Drosophila melanogaster: one gene and its partners. The protein of the gene in region 1 interacts with the protein of each later gene in a pairwise test. Each region holds a gene or a part of one and is shown on either strand. Other genes may lie near its edges.

The links.
Region 2: the proteins of CG2712 (region 1) and Noa36 interact in a two-hybrid assay, tested with the Drosophila melanogaster proteins (one large-scale study listed by BioGRID).
Region 3: the proteins of CG2712 (region 1) and Irbp18 interact in a two-hybrid assay, tested with the Drosophila melanogaster proteins (one large-scale study listed by BioGRID).
Region 4: the proteins of CG2712 (region 1) and idc interact in a two-hybrid assay, tested with the Drosophila melanogaster proteins (one large-scale study listed by BioGRID).

What each region holds. Positions count from the first base shown.
Region 1 is NC_004354.4:2,730,559-2,734,952, reverse strand, and holds CG2712 (uncharacterized protein), read right to left. Parts: upstream 2,485-4,394; 5' UTR 2,389-2,484; coding exon 1,783-2,388; intron 1,723-1,782; coding exon 1,468-1,722; intron 1,398-1,467; coding exon 753-1,397; 3' UTR 551-752; downstream 1-550. Other genes in the region: ttm50 (tiny tim 50), read left to right, coding at 2,905-3,163, 3,236-3,419, 3,476-4,004, 4,064-4,187, 4,247-4,394.
Region 2 is NT_033777.3:28,597,549-28,601,274, forward strand, and holds Noa36 (Noa36), read right to left. Parts: upstream 1,741-3,726; 5' UTR 1,674-1,740; coding exon 1,182-1,673; intron 1,090-1,181; coding exon 634-1,089; 3' UTR 511-633; downstream 1-510. Other genes in the region: Hrb98DE (heterogeneous nuclear ribonucleoprotein at 98DE), read left to right, coding at 2,970-3,020, 3,158-3,647.
Region 3 is NT_037436.4:11,096,934-11,099,965, forward strand, and holds Irbp18 (inverted repeat binding protein 18 kDa), read right to left. Parts: upstream 1,254-3,032; 5' UTR 1,209-1,253; coding exon of another isoform or gene 1,178-1,208; coding exon 1,067-1,177; intron 940-1,066; coding exon 709-939; 3' UTR 513-708; downstream 1-512. Other genes in the region: CG33947 (uncharacterized protein), read left to right, coding at 80-128, 1,159-1,208; APP-BP1 (beta-Amyloid precursor protein binding protein 1), read left to right, coding at 1,752-1,819, 1,877-2,041, 2,098-2,743, 2,810-3,032.
Region 4 is NT_033777.3:20,030,042-20,034,869, reverse strand, and holds idc (identity crisis), read right to left. Parts: upstream 3,048-4,828; 5' UTR 2,931-3,047; coding exon 2,760-2,930; intron 2,706-2,759; coding exon 1,705-2,705; intron 1,547-1,704; coding exon 1,412-1,546; intron 1,355-1,411; coding exon 1,244-1,354; intron 990-1,243; exon of another isoform or gene 829-989; coding exon 681-828; 3' UTR 575-680; downstream 1-574. Other genes in the region: Regnase-1 (regnase 1), read left to right, coding at 1-574; trem (trade embargo), read left to right, coding at 3,660-3,806, 3,861-4,621, 4,678-4,812.

The DNA of each region.
Region 1 (4,394 bases):
GTCCGGATCTTGAGATGAGAGTCGTCCAAGCTGGACGATGGAAAGGAAAGCCACGTGTGCCTCCAAGCCTCATGTCCCACTGATATTACTCATTACTCACTCATCCCACCCACCCACGTTATACCCACTAACATTTATGTTTTTACGCGACTTTTTGTGATCTATACTCATTTTATGTATGCCAAGTATTAGCAAGCACTCACATTGTCTGAACATATATATTTATTTATACATTAACTTTATGTATCGCGCGGCAGCGTAACGCGTAGCTCCCAATCCACACTTTTAATTCCCAGCCCCATTTTGTTTGTTACCCGCTCGCACACTCGTTCCGCACTACTCTAATTGGTTTCTAGCGCGTAAGTTCAATGCAGCATAGTAGCTTAGCTTAAGGTCCCCACACCCGCACCCGCACCCTCACCCTTAGCCACTATCAACTACAAAACCCAATCGAAACTTCCATATGTATAGAGATTCTCCCGCCTCCACCTGATAAACTAAAGCTCATTACATTAAATCAAATCGAAAGGATCGTCAGAAGACTCGAAATGTTTGTTGACCATATATAATATATATGTATGTATGAAACACGCATTATTTTGGGTGGGAAAACCAATCAAATTTATCCTAACAATAGGAACACACTTAAAACTTGTTATTGTGCGAAGGAAAGTACCGAAAATAAAAGCGAATTGAACTAAAACTAAATGTCCCGATTTGTACATTAAGCCGATAGTATAAGCGATCTAGCTTCAGGTCTCCACATTCTCGTCCTGCTCCTCCAGTTGGACACCCACTTCATGCTCGGCCCGCCTCCGCTGTCTGCCCGCCTTGTGCGACTGGCGATGGATGGCGAGTGAGATGCGGCGCTTGAAGGACTTGCCGCACTGCTCACAGCCGAACGGTCGCTCGCTGCTGTGGACGAGCATGTGGCGGTTGAGCTCGGATGTGCTGCCGAAGCTGCGCTTCTGGCACACCGGGCACGGGTGGGGCTTCTCCTGGCTGTGGCAGCGCTTGTGGGCAATCAGATTGCTCGAGTAGCGGAAGCGACGGCCGCAAATGTCGCAGCCGTGCGGCTTCTCGCCCGTGTGGGTGAGCATGTGCTTCTTGTAGCCCGACTTCTGTGTTAGCCTCTTGCCGCAGATGCTGCACTCGAATGGCTTGATTCCGCTGTGGATTAGAAGGTGTGTGCGCAGCGAGGACGCCTGCCGGTAGACCTTGAAGCAGGTGGGGCACCTGTTCGGATTGTTACGATCGTGCAGCGTGACATGGCCGTCGCGGGCGTTTCGCGTCTTAAAGGACTCTCCGCAGATTGTGCAAACGTAGGGCGTGGCCGTGCCATGTAGCTGCATATGGTACTTGAAGGAGTTGTTGGTGCTTAGTTGCTTGCCACAGATCTAAAGGAATGGAGGGAGAATTGATGACCTTCGGCTTTGAGTTATTTGCGAGCTGCGATGACCAACTTACTTTACACTGTAGGGAGGGATTGAGGGGTTTCCAAGGCCGGCTTCCACTGGGCAAAGTTTTCTGCGTCGCCGAAGTCTGTGCTGATTTCTCCACAATCTCGTAGACATCTTCGCCAGCTTTGGCCTGCAAAACGGGCTCCACTTGGAGGCACTCTTCAATGCAGTGGTCGTTGTCTTCTTGGCGAATTTTTGGCTGGCCATGTAGCCTCATGTGGTACTGAAAGGTCCGCTTCCTAGCCAGTTGTTTGCCGCAAATCTGCCGAAGATGGGAAACTATTTCGTGATTACTTACTTCTAATTCGGAAAGGCAACTCACGGGACATTGCAGCGCTGGCTCGGATCTTTCTAACCTGCTCCTACGTTGCTCCGGATCCGGATCGTCGACAATCTCGCAGAGATCGTCTTCGTGCTGTTCCAGTGCAATATCCAGCCTCTCCTCCTGTACAATTGGCGCTTCCAGCCGGCTCTCCGCCTCATCTGATTCTACGACCAGGAGTTGCTCCTCATCTCGTATCGTTTCTGCTGGATATTCAGTCACTTCCTGGTCATCGAGCACGAGTACAAAATCCTCCGGAATCTCGGTTGACAGCCTGGCCCTAGTATTCACCGCGCTGATCTTTTTGCTGCGGCAAAAGTCCGCATGACTCTGCCGCAGAATTCTGTCCATGCGATGGACACTCCGCTTGAATTCCAGCGAGAGCCGCAACTTGGCCACGCAGTCCGGGCAGATGTGGTGGGGCAGGAAGAGCTCCGCCTCTAGGATCTCCAGACCGCTGCAGTAGCTTAAAATGCTGGCCAGCGTCGCTGGTTTGCCGGAAATTGGATCGTCGAGCGGTTTGAAGAGCGGCAGGCAGCGCGGCGATGCTGTGTGGCACACGCGGCACAAGGCGTCCATGGGGGACGGCGGCGACATGGTCGTCATGGATTGAACTCGACAGTAGATAATACACGTTTAAATAAATAACTTAATTTAGCGTCCCGAACAGTGATGCCAAAGTCCAGCTGATGCGTTAGTGGTGGCACTCAAAATAGCTAGCCAGGCACATCAGCTTGGAAGTGACCAGAGGCACAGTGGCTTGGTGGTTGGTCAAAGGTTGTGTATTTCCATATTATTTAAAATATTTTAATTTAAAATTTTCTTAATACTGTGATTAGTCAGATTGCCGGAGGCAACATATGTACACACGCAGTTATCTGCAAAATCCCGCCAGATTTGGCTTGAAAATCGCCGATCTATACCTGCTGAGAGCCACGTGCTAAATGTACTAACGCCTGGTGCCGCCTGGCAGTGGACAGTATATAAAATCCCTAACGCCAACGCCGTGCCGGTGGGAAGTTGAAATTTTTGTTGGAATTTTTTATAAGTAAAAAGTCGCTGCCATCCGAGCAGGACTCGTGAACGGCTCTAGGACTCGATATCGGGAAGGAAGGGGGAAGCATGAGCATGAGCATGGCACCGGCCACCGTCCTCCAGTTGCTGCGCGGCCTTAGCACGCCGCGTCTTCTTACCCACATCCACCAGCACCGCGCATTGGGTAATCACTACCACCACTACCACCAACACTACCAGCACCAGCACCACCTCCTCCACCACCAGCAGCAGTACCTCCGACTATTCACTTGCACAGCACTGCCAGCGGCTGCTCCGGCGCTCTTCTCGATCCTGCACACAGCGCGTGGCTACAGCAGCACAACCAGTAAGTGATTCACGGTAGAGTCCTAAACAGTAGAGTCCTAAACATTCATCCTTGGCCACTTTCGTTTCGCAGAGCAGGAAGCTGGAGCCACTGGCCCCAATGATGCGCCCGAGGTCGCACCGAATGCCCCGCTGCTGGCCAAGCTCTTTCCTCAGACCTCGCCGGAGGTGGACAGCAACGCCGAGCAGGAGCGCAAGAAGCGCGAGGAGGAGGAGGAAAAGGAGAACGAGCGTGCCTGGAAGCGCATGAAGCTGGGGTAAGCTGACGCCCATTCAATGCGTAACAGTATTATAACAATACTTCCTGCTGCAGCTTTGCAATATTCGGAGGCAGCGCCGTGGCTGCTGGATTCTGGGCCGTCTACGAGTTCGGCAAGCCCGAGGTGGACCCCAACGGGCAGCCCATCGAGGACGAGTTCACACACAAGCCGCTGGTACAGCAGTATCTGCAGCGGATGTGGAAGAGCATTCACTACTATCAGCGCATGATCCAGGAGCCGTCGCGCGCCAAACTGCTGCCCGATCCGCTCAAGCCGCCGTACGTGCAGCCGCGCTACACGCTTGTGCTGGAGATGAAGGACGTGCTGGTGCATCCGGACTGGACTTACCAAACTGGCTGGCGCTTCAAGAAGCGTCCCGGCGTCGACCACTTTCTGGCCGAGTGCGCCAAGGACTTTGAAATTGTCGTCTTCACCGCCGAACAGGGCATGACCGTGTTCCCCATCCTGGATGCCCTCGATCCCAACGGCTACATTATGTACCGCCTGGTCAGGGATGCCACGCACTTTGTGGACGGCCATCATGTGAAGAACCTGGACAACCTTAATCGCGACCTCAAGAAGGCAAGTCATGCACAACGTATTTTCTATTGCAATCATCTATAAAGAAGGGAGTATTTTAGGTGATTGTTGTGGACTGGGATGCGAATGCCACCAAGATGCATCCGGACAACACATTCGGCTTGGCCCGCTGGCATGGCAACGACGATGATGGCCAACTGCTGGACCTTATCGCTTTCCTAAAGAGTAAGTTGCGCCACAAGTGACATTGAAAGCTAAACACTGACCCTTGCAATTCGCTACAGTAATTGCGCAGAACAACGTGGACGACGTGCGCGAGGTGCTCCACTACTATCGCCAGTTCGACGATCCCATCAACCAGTTCCGGGAGAACCAGCGCAAGCTGGCCGAACAAATGCTGGAGGCGGAACGCATCGAGCAGTCCAAGACCAA
Region 2 (3,726 bases), on another chromosome or scaffold:
GCCTAAAATGTTTCAGACTGATGATGGGTCGAACCCTGCCCACATCCCGTGCCCCACATGGCCCAGCAACCATCGCCCATCTACCCATTGCTGTTGCTGTTCCGCTCTGCCTAACTGACAAACATTCCCAAATGCCGAAGTGCGTGTCTTTCGCTTGGTGTGTGTGGTGTGTTTGCCATCGTTTTTGGAAATATTATATGCTCATACCTCCGTTTTCGAGTAAATTGTGTAAATATTTGCGCTCGTAAGTGGATTGGAGATGGATGAGTCTATCAGCAGAGAAGTTGGCGCTGGCAGAGCCGTTGGCATCGCCATCATCATATGCGTACGGGTTGGCCCTGCTGCTCCTCCCTGCCCAGGGCCATTATTTCCAATCCGCACCCGCAGTTCCCCAGTTATCCTCCCTTGTGGAATTTGGATTCGCATTCGCTTGCGCATTTACCTTTCGACTTTCGCCCACAGTCCACTTGCAGCTTGTTGCATTTTATAAAATGGCTACTTGGAAACTCTACAATTTGACAAAGAATTTATTTCCCTATTACATCGAGAGAAACGACTGCACAGCCGAGAATTCATTCGCACACTTAGAGGGACTAACAAAAGGCCATTTACGAGTATATAAACAATTCAGCCTTATTTGGTGGCCTTTTTGTCGGTTTCCTTCTCCGGTTCACTTTCTGTGGTCTCGTCCTCTTCCTCATCATCATCATCGTCTTCATCGCTTTCATCATCGTAGTCTCCATCGGACTCATCTTCATCGTCATCACCCCCGTAGGAGTAGCCCCCACTGGCGGCGCCACCATAATAGCCACTGCCACCGGCTCCATAGTATCCACCGTATCCCTCCTCGTCGTCGCTGTTGCCTCCTTGTTGCTGTCGCCCGAATTTGTGCGACCGCGTGGACATGCTGAGGTCCTTGGTCACCGAGGTATCGTAGTTGCACTTGGGGCATGGAATTGGCTTGTTCTTGTCGTACTTGAAGCCCTTGCGACGCACGTGATCCTCGCAGTAACAGGTCTTGCAGCGCAGGCAGGAGTATTGACCCAGCTTGTTGCACGATTGACACTTGTAGTTCTCCGACTCCAGCACCTGGAACCGAATGGATTGCATTACCAAAAGGCGTCATATGAATCTCAAAATGAAGTTCGGAACAAGCTTAATGAGTATTTTTGGTTACCCACCTGACAGCTGGCCTGGTGCTCGAACTGATCGTCCTCGCACAGGAATCCGTTGCAGAAGGAGCACTTGAAGATGCGCCCACCGTGCTCCCAGACACCGCGTTCGCACTCCAGGCAGGTCGCATTCTGCAGCGGACACGTGCAGGCGTGGTTTTGGAGACACTTGCGTCCGTGGCAAACCCAAGCCTCGCAGAAGTCGCAGATGGCGCCCACCATTCCGAGGCCCGTGGTGTAGACGCCCGGATGTTTGACCACGCAGTCGCCGGTCTTTAGCATGCACTTGATTTTCCCGCACTGGGCGCAAATGGGTAATCTCTGAATGCTCTGGCAGAAATAGCAGAAGGCTCTCGACTTCTGCTTCTTCTCGCACTTGTCGCACTCCATTGGTGCATTGCAGGGCAAATCCGCAAGAGGCACCTCTCTGCTGCGGATCTCCTTGAGGCGAAGCTTCTGCTTCTCGGCCTTCTTACGCTGCCCAGTCTTCTTTTTCGGCATTTTTGAAATCAAGGAATTAGAAAACTTATTTCCTTACGTGTGCGGCAGTGTGGCTGCTGCGGGTGCGCCGAAAAATACCACAAAAAGCTTTCGAATATTCCGCTAAATATGTAGCTACATCTTGAAAATAGCTACAAAAAATGCGTTAAATTAGCATCGTGGAGTTAGCGGCGACGGCGGAGCCGAGTAATTTAACACATCATTTTTCTGGCCAGCGTGCATTTTGGAATATGCTCTGCGAGTGGAGATATTCCTTGAAAAGTAGCTAGCCGATTTTTTTATTGCATATTTTATATACTTTCTGAGTCCTATAAACTTTAGTCGTACATAGATAGTTAGATCTCTTAAATAGTTCGATTTATTAAGATTTTTGCATTTGTATTTTTTTTGGAATTTACCTATAAATAGCGAAAAATTAAATAAATAAATAAGATTCTCATTTTCCATATTTCACCGTTCTGCCATAGACGCTAATTTGACCCACATAGATTTTCAGTGGAAACAAGTGGAAGCAACAACCGATTAGTGTAACCAAATACCTTTGCTTTTATTTAGGTCTAGTATTTTTGTAAGGTCTGTCTACGGCTTTCCTTTCCACAGGAAAATATATTTTCAGTTTTAGGGAAGGGGTGCTACAGTGAGCGTCTTTCGTTCCCAGTGTCGTTATTTCTATAGTATTGCTGAGATATATATCAGAGCAGTAAAGATATTTAAATATAAGTTCTTCGAAATGGGTGGTCACGACAACTGGAACAATGGTCAAAATGAGGAGCAAGATGTAAGTAGCACACAAAACCGCGACTGCACAGGGAAAAAACTCAGTTCGGCCATAATCCCAATATATATATATTTTGGTGATCAACGCGCTTTTACCCATGCGGCAACTAAAGTTGATGTGCTAAAGCATTTCGTTGCGGTTTTGTTACTTAAGACTAAGACTAACAGTAGTTGTATCTTAATAGTGCTAGGGAGTACGATGCTGTCGGTATTGGTTTCTCTTTTAGCTTTTTAGTGCAAAAGGCGTGATCAAGAATACACATGTTACACACATTTTTTAAGGCATGGTGAAAAGAAACAGGGCAGATATTGTAAAAGTATTGTATTGACAAGGGTGTCTGTCAACTTATCGTTATCGTTCTAGGTAGTATCGAATAGGTGCTGGGTTTAATCGGGTTGTAGAAACGGTCACACTGTATTCAGTTTTTTCATTCGTCTCGTGTGTCAGGGGACTTTCTCCATTTGCAATAGCAAAAAAAATAGTTAGATTAGAAGTTGTTCAACTTTTGCATTAGTAAAATGGTGAACTCGAACCAGAACCAGAACGGCAACTCCAATGGCCATGATGATGTAAGTAGTGGATATTAAGGGTCTAGAAATTTCCTGTAAGCTGGTGTCTCGCCTTGCCGGTCGCCATTTTGAAAATTACGCATGTGTCTCAAGGGCGGAAAGTGAGGTTATGGCCATTGATAAAATCAATAATTTAGGACTTTCCTCAGGACTCCATCACCGAGCCGGAGCATATGCGCAAGCTGTTCATCGGTGGCTTGGACTACCGTACCACCGACGAGAACCTAAAGGCTCACTTCGAGAAATGGGGCAACATCGTGGACGTGGTGGTCATGAAGGATCCGCGCACAAAGCGTTCCCGCGGATTCGGATTCATCACCTATTCCCACTCGAGCATGATTGATGAGGCCCAAAAGTCGCGTCCCCACAAGATCGACGGTCGAGTGGTGGAGCCCAAGCGCGCCGTTCCCCGTCAGGACATTGATTCCCCGAATGCCGGAGCCACCGTAAAGAAACTCTTTGTTGGCGCCCTCAAGGACGACCATGATGAGCAGAGCATCCGCGACTACTTCCAGCACTTTGGCAACATCGTCGACATCAACATAGTCATTGACAAGGAGACTGGCAAGAAACGCGGATTCGCCTTCGTCGAGTTCGACGACTACGATCCCGTGGACAAAGTTGTGTGTAAGTACAACGCTTTTCCTAATCTAGACAATATCAAATATCCTTTAAGAATGATTTATCTCTTCGAGAGTAGACTGTT
Region 3 (3,032 bases), on another chromosome or scaffold:
CCCGAAACCAAAAACCTATCGGCACAACGACACTTTCTCAATAGCTATAGTTTTAGTTCATATGTTCATATCTCGGAAAATGGACGAGGTCTTTAGCCTACACATGGAGAAATTGGACGTTTACGACGGTTAGTATCTAATTTGCCGGAAGTTCTACTTAAACGTAGAACATATGTATATGATGGAATCTGGGTTGTATTTCTGATTAATGAGTTCATCAACTTTCAAGGAAATAATAATAGTAGTAGTAGTTGTAAACAGCTGAAGTATTGGGTATAAAATAACACTGATATGGGTAAAATCATAATAGACACTTTATTTGATTCAAGACTCGCATGATTTTAGCTGTATGAATCATGTCGAAAATAATAGAAATCACTATTACTAAATATAGATAATTTTAAAATTTAGATTCAGTGCAACATGGATACAGTGATTAAGTGTTACAATATAAACAAAAGTAAAAGAAAAGTACAACAAAAACAAGTATTTGGTGAGAAATGATAAAAACTCACCAATAATGAAAACCATTTATGTAGGATTTTAACAAACACTGTTCTCGTCTGCATGAGTGCTTGTCTTTGTAATAGAATTCGAGCAATTGCACCATTTTAATCGAAAAACTAAGATGATACACATGGTTAACAACCATGGGAAATGGCTTAAAAGTATGAAAATATAAGAAGGTAAATCAGGAGAAGCTCCTCGTTAGTCATTGTCCTTGGGATCGGGATCTGGTTCAGCGAGAATCTCCTGGATGATTCGATGGCCGTCCTCCGTTTTCTCACCCTGAATGATCAGATCTCTAAGCGTAGATATATGTTTTTCACTCGTCTCGATCTGAACCTTAAGAGCATCGTTTTGCTTCCTCAAATCATCGATGCGTTTCTTACGTTCCTCGGCCGATTTCTTGGTCTTTTCGCGTGTGCGCTGAACAGCCTGTTCCGAGAATAGTAATAAATCAATAGTGGGCATCTATTTTTGGGGACTTCTGGGGGCCACGGCGCCACAGCAACATGTTTCCCAATCTTTGCTCTCTGTTTACATCCAAAACTCTTAAACTTACCTCATTGTTTTTCTTTCTTTTTTCTTTGTACGCTGGATCGTCTGTGTGCGGACTTAATGGCGAATCGCTATTTTTGCTGGTCGACGCGGCAGTTCTCTTTTTGGCCGGCATTATCTCCGTGATAATACTGATATTTATTTAGTTCAAATTGGATCGCAATCGGACGGAAATGCAGAAGAAAACACAGCGATGTATGCGTTGTTTTGTTGTGAAATTACACGATAAAACAGCTGTTCATTAGCCCTCCCAGTGTTGCAAAATGCGCTGCCTACACTGCCCAGCCAACAAACAGTTAGCGGTATTATTTAATTAAATTAATTGCATGTTGAAAATCAATATTAAAACTCACCCAAAACCATAGCCATGGAATGCTATTCAAAAACTGTCAACCAGACACTTTATTTGGTTTGCTCAGACTTTCACTTTTTAATTTCTCAACTGTTTATACATTTTATTTGTAAAGACTGATTGCTTGTACGTAGATGTAGTTTAATGCAATAAAATTAAATGAAATGTAATACGTAATAGTCAATAAATGTTTTAAATAAGCAACAGTTAAAATTACCAACGTGTTTTTTCCAACACTCCACCCAATAAACAAATTGTGTCAGAAGTATTGGCTGCCGGCGCTTTACAGTACTGGATTATTTGCAACCGGCTTATTATTGCACAAAAATCTAGTGAAATGTCCTCGCCAGCCCCCAAATCGCCAGAGCTTTCGGATAAAAGCAAGAAATACGACAGACAAATCAGGTGAGGAGCGTTTTAATTGATAAATTCGGAAGCATAGCACTGATGACACCTATTTAGGCTGTGGGGAGAGCATGGACAGACGCTATTGGAGGCAGCCACAGTATGTTTGGTGAATGTTACGGCCGTCGGCTGTGAAACTGCCAAGGGACTGGTGCTACCCGGTATCGGAGGCTTCACTGTGGCCGATGGCAGCACCGTCAAGGAGGAGGATCTGGGCAACAAGTCGGTAGACCATCACACATTCCCTGACCACCATTATAAAGTCACTTTTTCCGTAGTTTCTTCCTCGATTCCAGCTATCTGGGCAAATCTAAAGCATTGGCTTGCATGCAACTTCTCCAGGAACTCAATCCCGACGTAAATGGCGATTATGTCGACGAGAGTGCCGACTTTTTATTAGCCAACAGACCGAACTTCTTCGACAGCTTCGATTTAGTGATTGCCTCCAATCTCAATGAGCAGACTTTGCTTCTCCTGGCCGAACGGTTATGGGAGCTTAACGTTCCATTAATCTACTGCCGATCGCTTGGCATGCTGGGCACAATACGCTTGCAAATACGGGAACACTGCATCGTGGAGGCGCATCCGGATAATCGACAGTTTGATCTGCGTCTGGAGCATCCATTCGATGCTTTGCGGGAGCATCTCGACGGCACCGAGGTGACCAGTAAGGTGCCCTGGTTGCTGGTTCTTCACAAATACCTTAATGTGTGGCAAAAACAACAAGCGGATGGGACTCAAACGCCTCGAAATTACAAAGAGAAGAATCAGTTGAAGGAGACCATTAGAGAGGAGATGAAGGCGGATGAGGAAAACTATGAAGAGGCCATCAAGGCGGTCAATACAGCCTTTGGAGCGGGACAGGTTCCCAAAAGCCTGAAAGCCATATTCGAAGATGATGCCTGCGAACAGTTAAACAAGAAGGTTGCCCATATAATCTGAATTTATACGTATACTTTACTTTCATTTGTTTTTCTTTTTTTTTTACAGAGCAACGTCTTTTGGATCATGGCCAAGGCCCTAAAGCACTTTGTGATACATGAGAATGAGGGCCATCTCCCTCTGCCTGGCGTTCTGCCGGACATGACTGCCAATACGGACTCCTATATCGCCCTGCAGCACATCTACCGCCAACAGGCGCTGCAAGACGCCGACCAGGTGTATCACAAGTGCCAGGAGTACCTTAAGCAGTTGGCTTTGCCTGCCGACAGCA
Region 4 (4,828 bases), on another chromosome or scaffold:
TGGCAATAATAACAATGTTAAGATCAACTCACTGATTAGCCGGGAGCCGCTGGGGCGCACCAAGTCAAATACCATCGAGCAGGTATGTCAGGGCTTCTCCGCTCAAATGGATCTTTCAGAGGGTGCCGTGGAATCCAGCCAGCCCAATCGCCACAAGAAGCTGCAGCGCCAACAACCGCCGCCCGCCTACCGCCTGCTGGTGCCCACCTACAGTGCTCCCCTCCAGCAACAACAACACCAGGCACAGCAGCAGCATCAACAGTCCAACTCCAGCACCAACTATCACCACCAGTATCTGACGCGCACGCCATCCGCCCCGGTCACGGATCAGGGACTGGGTCTGCCACTGCCCGCTCACAACTTCGCCCATCTGTCTGCCTCCGATTCGCGCATCAACGAGGAGCTGCACGCCTCGCAGCAGCTTCCGCGGGAGGAGCAGCGCCGATTGCTGCGCTATCACCTGGGCAGCCTTTTCCCACCGCACCAGGTGCATGCCGTACTGCAGCTCTATCCGGAGGAGACCGACGCCAAGACCATATGCGCGGCTATTCTTAATTTATTTCCGCATAATTAGGCTAGGCTTAAATTTCATCAATATAATTAGATGTGTAATTACACGCGTGTTTCTGCTTAAAGTGTAAAGTGTCGCTTTGGGACGACGTGGAGTCCTCGCTCGAAATTTACATATCCAGGCCAACGATGTTGGCCGTGTCGTAGGACACCAGCCCGGCTACGGATTCCCGTGCGGACTGGCCGCGCCTCTCGTGGATGACCCGGTGGTTACGCAGTTTGTACGCCTGCGGGAATCCCTTGCCGCACACATCGCAGCTAAAGAGAGAGAGCAAACGTGTTTTAAATTGATTAGAATCCTTGATTAATTTATGTCTTCCTTATAACTTATAATATTTAAACACTAATACTTCATTCCCTGTTTATCTAATGTTATTTACGCCTCAGGCACCTAATAAACAATCAACTAAACTCAAAATATTAATATACTACGTAATATTCGTAAACAATAATCTTTTGAAACAGCATGGCTCTTTCAAAATAGTTTCCACTGTGAATTGTACATTCTTATAGAATAAAAAGTATATTTTTATAAACGATTTCCATCTCTCTATATCAAAAAAAAAACTCAATCTGGTTCTGAAGCTAGTGTATGCATAAACAATCTGTGAAACAGTGAAAGTTCGTGCTAGAGAATACGGACTGTAACCGCCAGGGGGAAAGCGAAACTTACACGTGCGGCTTCTCTCCCGTATGAATCATTTTGTGGAACTTCAAGGTGTTGGTGTAAGTGAATGTCTTGTGGCAAACATCGCACTCGTAGGGTCGCTCGTTGGTGTGGATTCTGCAAACGGGTAATTATTCAATCAAATCGGGTTTGGATTGGAGCTCACCAACTTACCTGTGGTGCTTGTTACGCGTGGACAAGTCGGCGAAGGCTGCCGGGCAATAGCTGCATTTGTACGGCCGATTTCCGGTGTGGGTGTTCATGTGGCGTGCCAGCTGCTGAGCCTGGGCGAAGCAATGACCACAGATCCTGAAAAATGAGATTTTAAGTTAATGAAGGCTTATTGAAAATGATTAATTACTTCCACACAATCATTATACCCGAATTAGACGGATATATGAGCTAAAATCGTAATAACACTCCAAAGAACATAGTGAACACGCAGTAAAAACTGTGAAGTTACTTACTCGCACTCGTGCGGCTTCACGCCGGAGTGGACCTTGATGTGCTCGGTAAGGCGACTCTGGGAGGGATACATGTTGCCGCAGACATCGCAGATGTACTTGAACTCCTTCTTGTCGCCAAGAAGGATCTTGTGGCCGCCTTTGGTTTTAATGCCGGAATGCTTGCGCGCCAGCACCTCGCCAATCGAGATGTCCTTCTCGGATTTGATGCTCATTTTGCTGCCAGCCGAATCACTGTTACCCCGCCGTACCTTAAGTGGATTGCCGCGGTCAGTTGTCTTGGAGGTACTCGATTCTACAGCCACCGAGGCCGTCGATGTAGCTGACCTGCGGGGATTCACTCTCCGCTTGGTGGCATTCCGCGCATGGATGGACGCGCGAACGCTTTTTGAGGGAACGAACTCCTCTTCGGTTGAGTTCAGATCGACTTCCGCATCATCCTCGTGGGCACTTTCGGTCAACTGATCATGCTCGACCTGGTCCAGGTATTCGATTTCGGCAGATAACTCGGACAGGGCTTGATCGGCCATCTCGTGGTCATAGCCCTGATCTGGGATGAGGTCGCCCTCGTACGTCTCATACACGTCATAAACCTCCTCGATTATGCCGTCCTCCTCCACCTGCTCGTTCTTCACGTGCACAATCCGATCCTTTTCCAGCTCAACGAGGATACCATCCTCAATCTCGTCATGGAAGACACCACCCTGCGTTTCGGCGGCATCGTCCGCCTCGGCATAGTGGCTCTCGTCCAGGTCCACATCCTCGTCTTCCTCGTCATGCTCTGGCTCCTGCTCCGCCTCATCGGGATCGACATCCGGCTCCAGCTTGGTGGCTGTCTCTGAGCCCTTTTTCTCCGGTGGTCGCTGCTCCACCTCTACGGGTCCAACGAACTGGCGCAGATGGCCGTACGATCTTTGGCAGGTCTCTCGAAACTTAAATGCCATTTTCAGCACCTTGAAGCACTTCTCGCATATCTTGTCCGGATAGTGATCGAACTGTTTGATCTGCCAAGGAAATTGCATTGTTATATGGTTCGGGGTCCAATGGGACAAACTTACGGGCACTCCGCCGCACTCGCGAATCATGTGGGTCAGATCCTTTTCCGAATCGTCGTTGAAAATGCTGGCCATGGGCTCCTTGGGCTGCTGCAGGCAAACCCGGCAAACGATCCACTTCTGCGTGCTCGTTGCCGCTGCCGCCGGACTCGCATGTGCTGCCGAGTCTCTCATTGTCGCGAATAGGAGATGGATCTCTTCCAGGAGGCTACTTACCCTCCGCTATAATATTTATAATAACACGCTCGCTGGACGAAGACGACGCCAAAAAAATAGATTGTAGTCTGGAGCGAAGTGCACGCGTTGCAATGCGAATGTCGCCACACAGGGTGACCACAGTCGACGCTAAGGGTATTCCATTCGCTACTTCAAATATTAAATATATAATTAAGAATACGAATGCATTTTGTGGGCAGTTAAATAAATCAGTAAAATTGGAATTCAAGTGTTTTACAATTTAAATATATAAAAGCTTGATTAAGCAGTTTAATACAATATTATATGTCAAGCTCATGTAAAGTTCCATCGTTCCATAAGACAGTGTGGTCATTACTGTACTGAAACAAAACTACTTTGATAGAATAGTGCTTTTCCTTTTTATTATATAAACGAACTTAAAACCATTTTCCTTCAATATTTGTAAATTGAAAATAAAATTAATAAAATGACGCGCATTTTTATATTATTTTCTACCAAAAAAAAATTATTTAAAACATTTGTTTGGTAAAAAGTGCACATACAGCTATGTACCCTGTACGCTCCATGTAGTCGTTCATAACGTGCATTCACCGTATCAACTTTGGCGGGCGCGTTTCGCTGTGAATGGCCAGTGGCCGTGGACGCTTAAATTCAGCTGTTTGAATCTTCTGCAACAACCGAAGTGATTGTTTTATCGAATTAGCCATGAAAACTGAGTCCAACGAGAAGTGGGTGGTGTGCCGCGTTTGCCTGAACAATCCCAGCGAGGGCGAGGAGCTGCTCCACGACATATTCAGCGAAACGGCAAGCACGCGACTGGACCAAATGCTGCACATTTGCGCAGGCATTCCAGTAAGTGTGAATCCTGCTTGGTTTGCCCATTTTAAATTATTCCAACCCAAACAGGTCAGCCTAGATGACAACTTCCCGGACAAGATGTGCAGCAAGTGCGTGCGCTGCCTGCGGCTCTGCTACAAGTTCCGTCTGACATGCCAGCGATCCCATCAGCACATTATGGACATGCTGGACCGGGAGGCCAGCAATGCTAACGCCGCCGGCGAAGGGGATTTGCTTAGCATCGCGGAGGACCTTTCGGTGGAGAGCGTACTGAAGTCGTGGGAGGACTACGCCAGTCAGCTGGATGGCGGCATGAAAGTGGAGGGCGAGGAGGATCAGCAACATCAGGTTATCACCTATGTCGTGGAGGATGGTGATACTGATGATACCAATATGTTCGATGTGCACGATCCCACGCAGCCGGTGCCAAATGAGATCGAGGAGGCTGAAACCTATGCTGAATACGAGGAATACGAACTGCTCACCAACGAAAACTCGCCGGAAATCGCACAGGAAAAAGGCTCCACCGGCACAGATGTTGCCACAGAGGAGCCGCCCGAAGAAGAAATTGCTGAAGACATACTCGACTCTGACGAAGATTATGACCCAACTCATGCTAAGCCGGAAAAATGCGACCGATCGGGCAGGAAGCCAGTTGCATACCACAAGAATAGCCCAAAAGTGGAAACCTTCAAAAAGAAGGTGGGCAGAAAGCCGCGCAACAAGCTGAGCACATACATCTGCGATGTGTGCGGAAATATCTATCCGACTCAGGCGCGTCTCACCGAGCACATGAAATTCCATTCTGGTGTTAAACCACACGAGTGCGAGTAGGTTTAAAAGTTGAAAGTAAATAGTAACTATGGCTAATAGGATGTTATTATAGGATCTGCGGAAGAGGCTTTGTGCAGAATCAACAGCTGGTACGGCACATGAACACTCACACGGGGAACCGACCATACAAGTGCAACTACTGTCCAGCTGCCTTCGCCGATCGATCCACGAAAACCAAACATCATAGGTGAGAAATATTCGAA